Regions from separate parts of the Mus musculus genome. Here regions 2, 3 and 4 are each reported to be linked to region 1. Evidence: microRNA targets listed by miRTarBase, many of them from high-throughput screens and not tested one by one. Region 1 holds a microRNA gene; each other region holds the end of a gene's coding sequence.
Evidence for each region. The annotated mature microRNA mmu-miR-466k reads UGUGUGUGUACAUGUACAUGUGA and lies in region 1 at 1,382-1,404, opposite strand. An mRNA with a match to its seed (bases 2 to 7 or 8) in the 3' UTR can be bound and repressed. Matches are read on the target gene's strand: a 7mer-m8 pairs with bases 2 to 8, a 7mer-A1 pairs with bases 2 to 7 and ends in A, and an 8mer does both.

Region 2: the mRNA of Krt222 is a reported target of mmu-miR-466k. Seed matches in the 3' UTR shown: 7mer-A1 at 1,134-1,140, 8mer at 1,135-1,142, 8mer at 1,137-1,144, 8mer at 1,139-1,146, 8mer at 1,141-1,148, 8mer at 1,143-1,150 and 5 more.
Region 3: the mRNA of Podn is a reported target of mmu-miR-466k. Seed matches in the 3' UTR shown: 7mer-A1 at 2,973-2,979, 8mer at 2,974-2,981, 8mer at 2,976-2,983, 8mer at 2,978-2,985, 8mer at 2,980-2,987, 8mer at 2,982-2,989 and 19 more.
Region 4: the mRNA of Gm14137 is a reported target of mmu-miR-466k. Seed matches in the 3' UTR shown: 8mer at 1,845-1,852, 8mer at 1,843-1,850, 7mer-A1 at 1,835-1,841, 8mer at 1,833-1,840, 8mer at 1,831-1,838, 8mer at 1,829-1,836 and 15 more.

What each region holds. Positions count from the first base shown.
Region 1 is chr3:85,465,546-85,468,799 of GRCm38, reverse strand. Mir466k (microRNA 466k) reads right to left here and starts at 1,423; the gene lies at 1,302-1,423. The region is part of intron 1 of Gm31419 (a long non-coding RNA gene); the gene reads left to right.
Region 2 is chr11:99,232,084-99,235,337 of GRCm38, reverse strand. It overlaps Krt222 (keratin 222), which reads left to right. Exons shown (of 6, transcript NM_172946.3): 6 at 191-2,577. The coding sequence ends at 419. Among named protein-coding and RNA genes, the nearest start is that of Smarce1, 2.7 kb to the right of the region's middle.
Region 3 is chr4:108,015,153-108,018,406 of GRCm38, reverse strand. It overlaps Podn (podocan), which reads left to right. Exons shown (of 13, transcript NM_172874.4): 12 at 503-700; 13 at 2,712-3,254. The coding sequence ends at 674. Among named protein-coding and RNA genes, the nearest start is that of Podn, 15 kb to the left of the region's middle.
Region 4 is chr2:119,174,890-119,178,143 of GRCm38, reverse strand. Gm14137 (predicted gene 14137) reads right to left here. Exons shown (of 1, transcript NM_001039223.4): 1 at 576-3,254. The coding sequence starts at 3,164. The coding sequence ends at 2,637. All of the region lies in intron 10 of Dnajc17 (DnaJ heat shock protein family (Hsp40) member C17), which reads left to right. Among named protein-coding and RNA genes, the nearest start is that of Gm14137, 2.0 kb to the right of the region's middle.

The DNA.
Region 1 (3,254 bases):
ACAACAGCTTCCACGTTACCCAGGACCCAGTTGGACCGTGGACACTCAGGCTTCACCACAGACCTCCTGGCCTTATTTCCTGGGGGTTGGTGTGCACAATCAGCTCCAGGAGAGCCAATCAAGTCCTTGTGGATGTCATGTCTCAGTGTCCTCTTTATTAGGATGTCACAGGTAAATTCCTGTGGCTGGTGCCAAGACAAACTGCCTAGAACATTTTATTTGCTGGCTTGCTCTGATTAAAGTGGAGAACGCACTGCACTTTCTCGTTTGTGGTCACCTGCTAAATCTTTACCTTATTTCTGGTGTTGCCTAACACAGCGTCTCATACACAGCAGAAGAGAAAGAGTCACTAAATGAATGAATGAATCTATTTCCTATTTCCTTCGAAATTTGAGCCTCTGCACAGGCTGAGATGTACTGGCGTGCTTTGTGTTGTTGTTGGAGGTGGAATCTGGGGTCTTGTATATGCTGGGCAAGTGTTTCATCATTGAGCTATAACCCAAGAGCTAAAAAACTTGTTCCGGTGGCATTAGGGTAGCAGACAATTTTTGGGGAAATGAAGTTTGTTTCCAGAAGGCCTAGGGCTGTGGAATCCTGGGTATAATGGATGCTTAGAAGAGAAGAGATGACTTCAGGTCTCAAGGACTGAGGACATGTCCCTAGTTTTCAGTGACTGGCTTTTATACCACCAGAAGCTCTGCACACTCTGTACTGACCCTTTTCCTGTGAACTTCCCTGTGTAACATTTGTTCCTCTGTTTTATCAGCTGAATGATGGAACCTCACAGCCAAGAACTTTGAGAGGTCAAAAGGACCTGGCTGCTTCCTGCAGGTGGCAATGGCTTCCTTTCTTCTTCAGCCTTTAGACAGTTTGGATTTCAAATTATTCCATCACTTTCTAGAACATTCCAGATCCAAGCTCTCCTCTCCTATCACAGATGTATTCTGCAGCGCTGGGCCTCTCTACTGCATGTGGTTGTGGGAGAAGAAAGCCGCTGAGGTAGTTGAAGCCATGTTTAGCTTTTAGTTCTGTGAGGCAAGAGGGCCAGGACAGAGCATTTCCCCTTCCCTGTCAAGATATCAGCACCTGCTTGGGAAGCCAGAAGATGGAGGAGTAAAAAAGCTCCTGTTCCTCGGGGGCTTGCAGGTAAGGTCACGGCCAGTGCAGAGGTGCCAGTCTTCTCCTGCCCTATAAGGCTGCTGCTACCTGTGAAAGATCAGTGCAGTTGCTTACCTGTCACCTAGGCCAGATGGAGACACAGCCATCGGAGTCACAATTAGTAACACCTACTCACCATACACACACATGCACATGCACACATATACACATATATTCACATACTCACACACATGCACATGTACAAACATATACACACACATACTCACATGTACATGTACACACACACACACACACACACATATATATGTATATACACACCTGCACACACACACACACACACACACACACACACACACATATCAATAGAGAACATGCATATACACGTACATGCACTCATGCACATGCACACCCATGTGTATATGCACACACATACATACACATATACACATATGCATGCACACACACACATACACTTATTTCTATAGGAGGGTGTACATGAATGTATATCACATGCACACATGTATATGTGTGTGAATATAGGTGAATATACAGCCCCTCCCATCCTGGAAACTAGCACATTCATATAAGACACCATAATACAGCTTTTCAATATTTTCTTTTCTGTAAGAAAGTAGGGAATTGACTGAAGTCCAGGGCTGTTGCAGTTCAGAAGTTCGGCTCTTTATCTAAATGTGGCCCTGAGAGTTAGGCAGCAGATGGAGGTAACATGGCAGCTTCCAGGGCTTGGAGTCAATGACTTCAATGAACAAAAACAGACACTTTCTTTTACTCGCTCCATTGAGAACATGACCACACATTCCTGGCTCACAGGAGACCCCTAAATCTGGAGGCCACTCCACGATGTCTCCTCATCCTTAAAGTAGAAAGTGGGACTGCGGAATCTGTCATGTGCTCCATCTTGGGCCACTGATGGGGTCTGTGTGAGATGAGATCTGATTTGCCTCGGTTATTCTGGGATGCACATTGGCTACTCTGCCCACTTCATCCATTCTGAGCTACTACCAATCTCCATCCTTACAGGCAGCAGCCAATTTGAAACGTACAGTTGTATACTCCCACTTCAGGTTACTTTTGCCAACACATATTACCTTATGTTTATTTGAGTTAAGTTTCGTCTGCCTGCAGGCTGCACAATCCCCCAAAGTGTTCCGATGCACCTGGAATTTCTTGCAAATCTTCTCTGTTTTTATTAGCCACAACAGTTTGGAACTAGTTGAAACCTCTGGGAAGAGATTAGACAACAATTACTGCCCGTTGCTCATGTAATGTCTGGCCAGGTACATGAGCCAGCAGGCCTTGCTTGGCGGGGTGGGGGTGGGTGGGCATGATAGCATTTCTATCCACTGGTCTGTCTTTTGAACTCTCAACTCTGGACAGGTACCAGGGAGCCAGCCTATCCTTGGGGTGTATGTCTACACAGGGGCATAGAGCTGTCTTATTTACAGGTTTTAGAAGCTACTGCTCTGGAGCCAAGGGAATGTGTGTTATCAAGGCCCACTCTGTCTGGTCCCCTTGGATATTACAGAAAGAAGGGACAGAAGAAGAGAGCCGAGGGAGGGGAAGGAAGCTTGCAGCACTGCTCGCTATGCTGGGTTCTGTAAAATCAGGTGATTAGACATGGGAGGAGGAAGGACAGAAGTATCACCCTTCGGACTCCTCTGGAGAGGCTGAGACATCACCATGGTCACATCCTGGAATCTGGGAATGAGGACTGGTTGAGGCTGGAAGCCACTGTCCTCAAGACCAGGTAGGACATCAAGGACCAGTTCCACGAGCCAGGATGGAGGAGGTGAAGCGGGCTGCTGCTTGCGGAAAGCAGCTTCTGTGAGCAAGGCTGGTGTGTGGGCAGCAGCTTAGGCTGAACGGATCCCAGAGCGTTCCAGCGAGCTAATCTTGTCAGCCTCAAGCTGTTCCACAGACAGTGGGTGTGAATCCAAAGCCATCTTAGATGCTCAGCTCTCAAATGTTTCTTTTAAGAAAATAAAAAAAGAGAGATTGAAGGTACACCAGACCCAAATGGGCCAGTTACCTGGGAAGGTTAGACTTGTGAGCTGTGAAGTGCAAGTATGCAGATGTTAGAGACGATGGGATGAGATGTGTGTATGGGGGTGGAT
Region 2 (3,254 bases), not on the chromosome of region 1:
ATGCAGATATACATACATACACATACATACAGGCATACATACATGCAGACAAAACACACATGAAATACAATCATCTAAACTGTTAAAATCCTACACCCTATACATTATACACATTTCTCTTTCATGAATATGAACTATACATTGCGTCTATTTCTTCTTCTGTAAAAACGAGTTTGTTTTCTCATTTCAGGACAGAGAAAGTGGATGAAGTTATAAAAGAATGGGAAGGTTCATTCTTTAAAGATAACCCTCGACTGAGGAAAAAGTCCGTCTCTCTCCGGTTTGATCTCCATCTAGCAGCCACGGATGAGGGCTGTTTAGAGAGTAGACAAGATAATCTGCCAGATATCGAAGTCAGACTTATCATGAGAAGATCCTGCAGTATTCCCTCCATCAAACCCCCACCAGGAACCAACTAACCCAGAGAGAGTGTTTAGCAAGGGCACCAGGATGGACCTATGTAGGCCATACAGACCCCCAGTCCCAAGTGTAAGTTATTTTACATGGATAGATAGTGTTAAGATGCTGTGGGCTCTGGCTCTCTTCAGAGAACACATAAGTAAGAGATGCTGCAGCTAGGACTCCAAAGATGAGCAGGGGTTTTTTGCTGTTTTGTTTTGTTTTGTTTTTTGAGAGGGGCTGCTTAAAAATAAATCAGAAATCCAGTGTGGATTCTGTTTTATTTGTCATCTAAATAGTCTTTATTCTGGCGAGCTTTATCAGAGACTTTAAGTATTAAGGTGGCTTCATTAAGCCTGTAATTTTCCTCAAAAGCTAAACATCCCAAGGAAAACAAAATAGCTTGTTTGAAAACTGAAGAGCTACGGTGAGTTACTCTCCGTGGTTTCAGGACCAGCTGAACCTAGAATGTTCCACTTCTAAAAAGGCAGCAGTTAGGAACAAACTGTTTAAGGAGCAGACTCAGTATTCACTTAGGACTTTCCCTTTTGAGACAATCATTTGAACCCTGGGAATGACGAAGTGTTCCATCCATGAGCGATTCTGAATGGACTGTAGAGCACTCTCCAAGGCAATTTTGATTATTAATAAAATTGGGTTACTCTATATCTTTATCTTAAAGCTTTTTAAAAATCAGTATCGGGAGAGTTAGTTTGTTGAAAGTTAAAGGTTGTACACACACACACACACACACACCCGGACATACACACACTCCAGCTGTACAAACCTTTTAAAGCACATTGAGATTGTGGTGAATCCAGTTACCAGGACAGTTACCCAGCTGCTCACCATCTGCAAAATGAAGTGTGAGTAGCGTGTGCTATGGGCCTGAGAGGAAAGAGTCTATGAACTCAGAGAAATAGTCCTTGCAGTCATTTCTGTGAGCTAACAGCATAGTACTGCTATCTGAGCTAAGAGTGCCTGCAGAACTTGATTTTAAATTGTTCAAACTGTAATAAATAGAGATGTAAAATATATTTGTGAATAAGTGAAAAATTGTTGCAAAGTTGTTTTCTGGTTTTGTTTTTAATTGTTATTATTTACTTGCTATACATATATGCTTGCACCCCAGAAGGAGGGCATCAGATCTCATGACAGATGGTTGTGAGCCACCATGTGGTTACTGGGAATTGAACTCAGGACCTCTAGAAGAGCAGCCACTGCTCTTAACCTCTGAGCCATCTCTCTAGCCCCATTGCAAAGTTTGTTTTGTTTTTTAAAAAACAACCTAAATTTGTTTAATGCAGGTACATTTACTTTGAGACCTTAAATAGTAGATATCTGTTTTACGACATTTAGATATTTTAGGCTTTTTTTTTCCTAAACAACAACAAATAAGGAGTACAAACCATTGGCCACTGTTCTTTGTTCTCAGCTCAAGTATCATCTAAGGGCTACAGCTATATTAGCATTTTAGTGGGGCCTTCAAAGCCCACCCTCCTCTCCCCCTCCCTCCCTCTCCACATGTGTGTATATATGTTGACTAGTAAATATGCTTTAGCCACAAGGAACTTACATTAGTTAGCTTTTAGTGTAATCCAGAGGTTTAACGTTCCCCTTTTTCATTACTCCAGGTTGCCTTCAGCCTGACTCACTCTAGTTAGTGAGTAAAAATGAACGATGCTGTTCTTCAATGTTACAACAGCATATTAAGCACTTATTCTTGAATAAGCGCCTGACCTAAAATTGCATCCTACACATTAAATGTTTCTTTCAGGCTGGGGGTACCGCAAGGTGGCAGAACTTCACCTAGCACATAGGAGGCACTGGGTCTGGACCTCAGGGAAAAAAAAAAGGGAGGGGGAGTATTCATCATTAAATGCTGCTACTTTATTAAAGCTTTGACTGCAATCATATTAGCCATTGTACTGGTTACTGCATTATGCAACAACAATTACGATAAAGCGATACATTTAGTGCAATCTACTGCAGTGTTGGGACTGGGCATTGTGAATTAACAGCTTGCTAGAGAAGTTCCACTGTGTGGCTATTCTGTGTGTAACATGCAGTACTTGAATTTGTAAATGAGTTTTGTTTGCTTTGAGGCATTTTAAAATCAGAATATGAATTTACCAAAGTAAATGATGCCACCATAATAAAAAAAAATTTAAACATGAACTCTAAGGCTTCCTTGTATTTGGGTTCTCCTATTTCAAAGATGTCTGTGCATGGTTAAGCCAAACAAAGCTAAATCACTTGAGGAAGACAGCTCCAGTGATAGGAGATGAAGGGTTTAACTTGGTTTCCAAGATAAATTAAGGATTAAGTTTTAAAATCCAGCTAGGTGCTGACAGTACACACCTGCGATCCCAGCTCGTGGAAGGCAGAGGAAAGATTTTGAGTTCCAGACCAGCCTGAACTACGTAGTAAGATCCTACAAACACACACACACACACACACACACACACACACACACGCATCATAACCATAATTATAAAATCCTATAATTCTGGGGAGATATAATAGTAGACAGCATTATTTGAAAAGTGCTGCAGGCCGGGTGTGGTGGCGTACGCCTTTAATCCCAGCACTCGGGAGGCAGAGGCAGGCAGATTTCTGAGTTCGAGGACAGCCTGGTCTACAGAATGAGTTCCAGGACAGCCAGGGCTACACAAAGAAACCCTGTCTCGGAAAACCAAAAAAAAAAGAAAAAAGGAAAGGAAAGAAAAGTGCTGCAGGACCTGTTCGGGACCCTGGATTCAATCCCTAGCGCCTCACAGAAGTAAAAAGAACAAGAAAGAATGCCATGCCGCTGTCCACTTAGAACTCAATCAATTCCCCTTTTTTAAGCCAAT
Region 3 (3,254 bases), not on the chromosome of region 1:
GCTCCGGGGTTAGGACTTCAGAGAACTCAGACCTCACAGACTCTGGCTTCTTCTCAGATGCTCCCCCACCCCCCATTCCAACTCGACCCACTCAAATCAGAGAGAAGACAGAATAGAAGACAGGCCCAGGGTGGTGACACTGGGTGGTATGACCCGGCCTTCAGTGTTGGGCTGAGTACGTTCCTTACAGCTCAGCCAGGCCTTGCCTGTGTGCCAGTCAGATCTTGAGGTTAGTGGGGAAGGGCAGCAGAGGCATCTCTCTGCACATGAAGTGACTATGCATAGAAGGAGACATTCCTTGCCTTTGCCACCCCCTTCCTCCAAGCTAACGGTGTCCTGACAGATCTCTTTGTCAGGGGTGTACTGTGCTTCTTCACGCACCCCCTTCAAAACTTGCTGTAGCACTCCCAAATACCACCCCTCCCCCCTTTCCCCTCTGAGCTGGGTAGGTGTGAGGGCATCAGCCAGGCCTCCTGCCGCTGACCCATGGACCACCACTCAGGTTCAACAAGCTGGCTGTGGGCTCCGTGGTGGAAAGCGCCTTCCGGAGGCTGAAACACCTGCAGGTCTTGGACATTGAAGGCAACTTTGAGTTTGGTAATGGTTCCAAGGACAAAGATGAGGAAGAGGAAGAAGAGGAGGAAGAGGAAGATGAGGAAGAGGAAACTAGATAGGACAAAGTGACATGGATGAAACCCAGGTGGGTGGTCTGTGCGGGTGTGAAGGCACCTCTCACCACTCCCTGCTGTCCCTGACCTGCCTTGGCTTTCTGTGTGTCAACTTCACCCTGTCTCTGTTCTATCCCTTCATTTTGAAAACCTGTCATTTCGTTTGCATGCAGGATTGCACCATGTGAGGTGTGTGTGTGTGTGTGTGTGTGTTTGTATGTGTATGTATGTGTGTATATGTGTATGTGTGTTTGTATGTGTGTGTATGTGTGTATATGTGTGTATGTATGCGTAGGTGTATGTATCTATGTGTACATGTATGTGTGTATGCGTGTATGTGTGTGTGTATGTGTGTGTATGTGTGTGTGTGTGTGTGTGTGTGTGTGTGTGTATGTGTGTGTGTCTGCTTGCCCACAGAAGCCAGTTTGTGCTAAGGCATTTACTCTAGCTCAGGGAGATGAGTACTGTGCTGGGAGATACTCTGGGGTACAGAGACTCCTAAGTCTGGGGCTCAGAGGAAAGGCCTGGGCTGGAGATGGGAATCTCATCACTGTAGGCCTTGAGATAGGGCTAGATACTGAGGGGCTAGAAGAGCTTGTCTAGGGCAGGGAGGGAGGGGACAGCCATAGGTAGTTAATACATACACATACATGTAACACAAGCATCTACACATGTGTACATATATACATACTTTAGTCCAAGACACAATCATAGGCCCATATCTGTGTGCACACATGTGCCTATGGATATATGCATGGAGGTGTGTCTGGGTACCTATTCACACAGGCTTACATATGACCACACTCACACACACACTTAATACATTCATGGACTTCTCTAGATGTAGGGGGTAGGGGACTAAAACTGCTTCAGTACTCAGAGTCTGGAGGTGGGTACTGCTGTCCATAACTGAATGTGTCTACATGGAATGCTTGTGACGTCATAGGGAGCAACTGAGGGAGAGGTGGGGGTGGAGAGGATGACTGGGAAGGCAGGGAGTGCAGTAGCCAAGGGGAGGCCACGTAAAACTCAGGTAAAACTGTTTGGCACTCCTTTTGGCACTGGTGGCAAGGATGCTCATGGGATATGCTGTGGAGGGAGGGTAGTGCATTGAGCAGCATGGGTATGAGGGCTGCTGGAAGGATTGCAGGAGGTTGGTAACTGTCCCAGTGTGGAAGGAGGGCCAGGGAACTGAGTGGCTGCCGTCACAGTCAGGCTTGATGGTTGGGTCCCAAATCCCATCAGCCCGAGGACCTTGGCTTTCTATCCATGGCACAGAATTGGATTCCTTATGGCTGGCTTTTTGTTCAGGTTGTGGCACTAGGCTTGGTAAGAAGGAGGGGCAGATGGACATATTGGTAGCAGAGGCATGGGGAGGAAGCTGAAACCTGGGAGGTGATAGCAAGTGTCCAGGCAGAGAGCAGTGATCGGAAGGGCTAAGGTTAGGTAGGACTTCAGGGAATGTGCTGGGAACTATGAGGCCAGGGTGTGGCCATGGCCACAGTGAGGATATTGACTTGAAGTAGAACATGGAACAGAGGGGAGCTGGTAGTGGGGGGAGGGGGGTTGTTGATATATAGTGACAGCTATGTGGACGGATGATGGAGACAGGGTGTCCACTCATGAGAGCAGGATTTGTGACAGGGCTGTGAGCCTGGAGGGGCAAACCTGACTCCAAGGCCAGCCGTCGAGGTAGAGTCTCTGTCCTGAGGCACAGTCCTTAAAAGCCAGGGGTCGGCAGGAAAGGGTGATTGCTATCGCATGAGGACTGCTGGTTCTCATGAAAAGGACTGTGGAGTTCTGGGGTGAGGGAGAAGCTTCCCGCTTTGTGGAATGTTGGCCATGGTTAAGTCAACTGAATGGACTGCTGGAAGAAGCCCCAGGGAGCTCTGGATTCAGAGCTGGGAACCTCCTGGTTCTACACTCCCAGGGGCTCCTCCTTCTTCCCACTCACAGCAGCCTGGCTTCTGACACCCCCTTACTTTGATCCACTTCACCAATGGCTGGTTGTAGCTAGTCCTGACTCTCCAACATGTTCCACAGGACGATGGACTACCGGACTCCTTTCTGCAGCCCAGGCCTGTGCCCCATGAGCGCCCCCTTCTGACACACCCAACGCTGAGCCCAAGAGGCACCCGAAAGTCACACGGGCTGAACACAGTCTCGTGTCCCACCCCTTCCAGCAATGTGTCACACAGTCAGACACGTGCAGATACCACTTCACCACCACGCCCCCAGTTTGGCCACGTAGATAGCCAGCTGCATATGACCTTCCAAACTGGCTCTCTGCACAATCTCACACTGACACACACACACACACACACACACACACACACACACACACACACACACACACACCCTCACCTCTGAGTCCACACTGGCCTGGTAGACTCAGGCAGCTACCCTCTCCCCTATTCACTTACACAGAGTGACCTATGCTACCAAAAGCTCTTGCTTCCAGACAGCTCTGGTTGGAAACAGTTGGCCATGTGCCTTGTCCTCTGGTCCCTCCCTTGGAGACGCAGGGTTGTCTCCTTGCTCTGTGGCCGGGTGCTTTTCACTCTTTGAGACGCAAAAGCTGGCTTT
Region 4 (3,254 bases), not on the chromosome of region 1:
ATTCAGTGTCCCAGGTCCTGATGGAGGAGGAACATGAATGATGTAGAGGTCAGCCCAGGATCCTGTAGCTGCCTTTGCTACTCTGTGGGTTCTTTCTTCCATCCTTCCCCAGCCTTTTCTCCCACCCTTTCAACCCTCTAACAGTAGATGGAGAAAAAGAGGGAAGAGAGGAAAGGAAAGAGATCCCTGACTAGGGGCCCCAAGAGACTTCATCAGTCAGGATAGCACATTTCTTTTCCTTAATGTTTGTTCTTTGCGCAAGACTACTTAACCACCGTGCCTCTCGGGGCCCAGAATATATACTATATATTCTCTAAAAAGGCCCCAGAATTCCAAGTGTGACACAGTTGCAGAAACCATCTGCAGCTGGCACAACCACGCCCCTGCTAGAGACAAGCTGCATAGTCAGCTGTGGACAGCCCCATGCCACACGGGGGTTAAAGTGAAAGCATAGTCAGATTTCTGTGCTTTTTAAAAAGAAACCAAGGTTCTCACTACAAGATCCTAGCTTAAAAGAAGCCTCATTCCCCACTAGAAAGTTTCAGCATTTCACATCCAAGACCATACTCTGTAGGTCATATTAGAAAAACCTTTATTGGTTGCCTCCTGTTTCCAGAGGAGGCTTGAAGCTGAGTACCTCTGCACAGGAACAGGAAAGAGAGATGTCACAGATGTGGATTTATCAGGCAGTGTGTGTCACAGCTTCCTTTACCCTTCTTTCACACTTGAGTGACCTGGAGGCCAGACCCACATGGTCCAGTGCTTCTGGGCTCTGGATTCAGATCTGACCCAGCCACAGGGCAGGGAGTAGCACAGTTTGTAGCCTTGCCCTGTCTTGGGCCTGGTGGAGGATCCTGGAGCCTCTTGGTGGTGCATTGTCCTTTCTGATCTGGTTATCCCTGTACTGTTCCTGCAGCCTTTCCCAGAGGTTCCACATACAATGCCTGTGGAAGTTCCCAGAGCACTCCTTTGCAGCTGCTGGTTCCAGGAGCTTCTTCCTAGAGTACTTGCTTACAGATCTGTGGGAAGCTTGAGTCTCATGCTGTGTTTGCTAATGATGTTAGGCCTTTCCCCTGCATTTTCCTCTGTCTACCTCTCCTGCTGTCAGCCCCTCCTGCACCTGCAGCCCAGAGCTGGCAACTTTCCTTCCTTGCCCAAGCTTCTGATGGTTACATACTGTGTCTGGCCAGCGCCATCCAGTGGACTTTGGTCTAACAGTGTCGGTGTTTATGCTCTGTCATCCAGTACAGTAGCCGTCAGTCAGATGTGGCTGTTGATTTAAAATGTGCCTAAGTGGGCTGGGGAGATGGCTCAGCAATTAAGAACACATACTGCTCTTCTAGAGGCCCTGAGTTCAATTCCTAGCACCCACATCAGGTGGCTCACAACTGCCTGTAACTCTAGCTCCAGGGGCATCCAACACCTTTGCCCTCTGCATGTACCTGTATATACTTGTTTGTGTGCACACACACACACAATTAAGAATAATTTTTGAAAACATCTTTAAAATGTGGCTAGAGGGCTGGCATGTGGCTCATTTAGGTAGAGTACTTGCTTAGCATACATGAAACCCTGGATTTGATCCCCAGTGTCTCATAAAAAAAAACCTGGGTTTGATCACACACACACATGAGTAATCCCAGGCTCCGGAGGTGGAGGTGGGAGGATAAGAAGTTCAAGGCCACCCTCACTACATATGAGACCTCATCTCAAAAACAAACAAATAAAAATTTGCTAGGATGAAAAATAACTGAAATTTTCTTTGTGTTTGTGTCTGGATGGTGTGTCTGTGTGTCTGTGAGTCTGTGTGTGTGTGTGTGTGTGTGTGTGTGTGTGTGTGTCTGTGTGTGTGAAGTGGAGGTCACAGGTTGATTTCAGATGTCTTTCTCAATTGTTCTCGGTGTTTTATTTTCTGAGGCAGGCTCTCTTGCTGGGCCTGGACTGTGCCGATTTGGCAACCTAACCAGGCAGCTGCCCCTGGGATCCCTAGCTTCTCCAACCTGAGCACCAGCATTCCAGATGGGCTAGCATCCCTGCCTGCCTTTTATACTCGGGTACTGGAGGTCTAATCTCAGGCCCTCCTGCTTGCATAGCAAGCACTGTATCCACTGAGCCATTCCTCAGCCTCTGGAGCTGACTTCTCAGTTTGCTTTTCCTTCATTAAACAGTCCTGCGCCGTAAGTGGTGACTTGTCTAGTCCTGCCTCTCTGACCTCCCCACTTCCCTTTCATCTCAGTTAGACTATGTCTTCCTAGACTGGCCTGTGACTTTCTGTTTCTGTGACGTGGTCTTTAGAGGCTGCTCTGCCCAGGCTGAGTCCTATTTCCTGGCTCGCCCCTGTGCCTGCCTGTCTCTCCACTGACCTCTGACTGGTTCCGTGGTTGCAGGTTGGAGTTTCCTTTTCCTGGTCTCTCCAGCTTCCTTCAGGACTCCTGCCAGAAAGTGACTCCCATACATTCCCAGCTGGCTTTTGCCCCTTCACTTTGGGCGACTTGAAGGATTGGTCAGCAGCCAGAGGGCAGGGAGAACTGTGGCTTCTGGTCCCCACCTGTTCTTTAGTCCACATTGTACCTTCCTCGCCTGGGTCCACAGGCGCCATTCCTCCAGTCACCCCAGTTCTCGCTACTCTCACCAGGTCAGAAGTGGGGCTCGCTTGGGAATTGCTCCTTTAGAATCTGCAGAACTTCTTCCAGAAGTGAAAGCCCCAGGTCCACTTTGAAGGAGAGGAAAGGGTCACTGAGGTCCGGAGTAGGTGTCCTCGGGAAGTGGGGAGTGTCCGAAAGGGCCTCCTCTGAGCACTGGTGAAGCGGCCCTGTCAGGGAGATTGCTGAAGGCAGGGTGGCCGAGTAGCCAGCTGTGTAGCTTGCTGGGGGCTCCAGAATGTTGGGGCAGCTGGAGCTCTCTCGGTAGAGGCGTGGGGGCTTGGGTGGGGCCAGTAGGGTGGCTCGGGGATGCTCATCCCCCCACAAGGGCAGACGCCGGCCGTCTGGCCTCCCTTGCAGTTCTCGGATGACTTCCCGGTTGCTGTACTCCTCATGGTCACCACCAGCAGTGCTGGCCTGGCTAAGTATGCTGCCCTGTCGATGCAGTCTCCGTGGCCGCCCCAGGGTGATTCGCTTGAAAAAGGAGGCATTGCGGAAGGAGCCTTTCCGCCAGGTCTCCATGGAGCTCCTGAGAGTCATCTAGTGGGTCTGGCATCTGAGAAGCCCCACAAAGGGGCTCAGCAGCAGCAGGTGACCTTTTTGCTAGGGTGC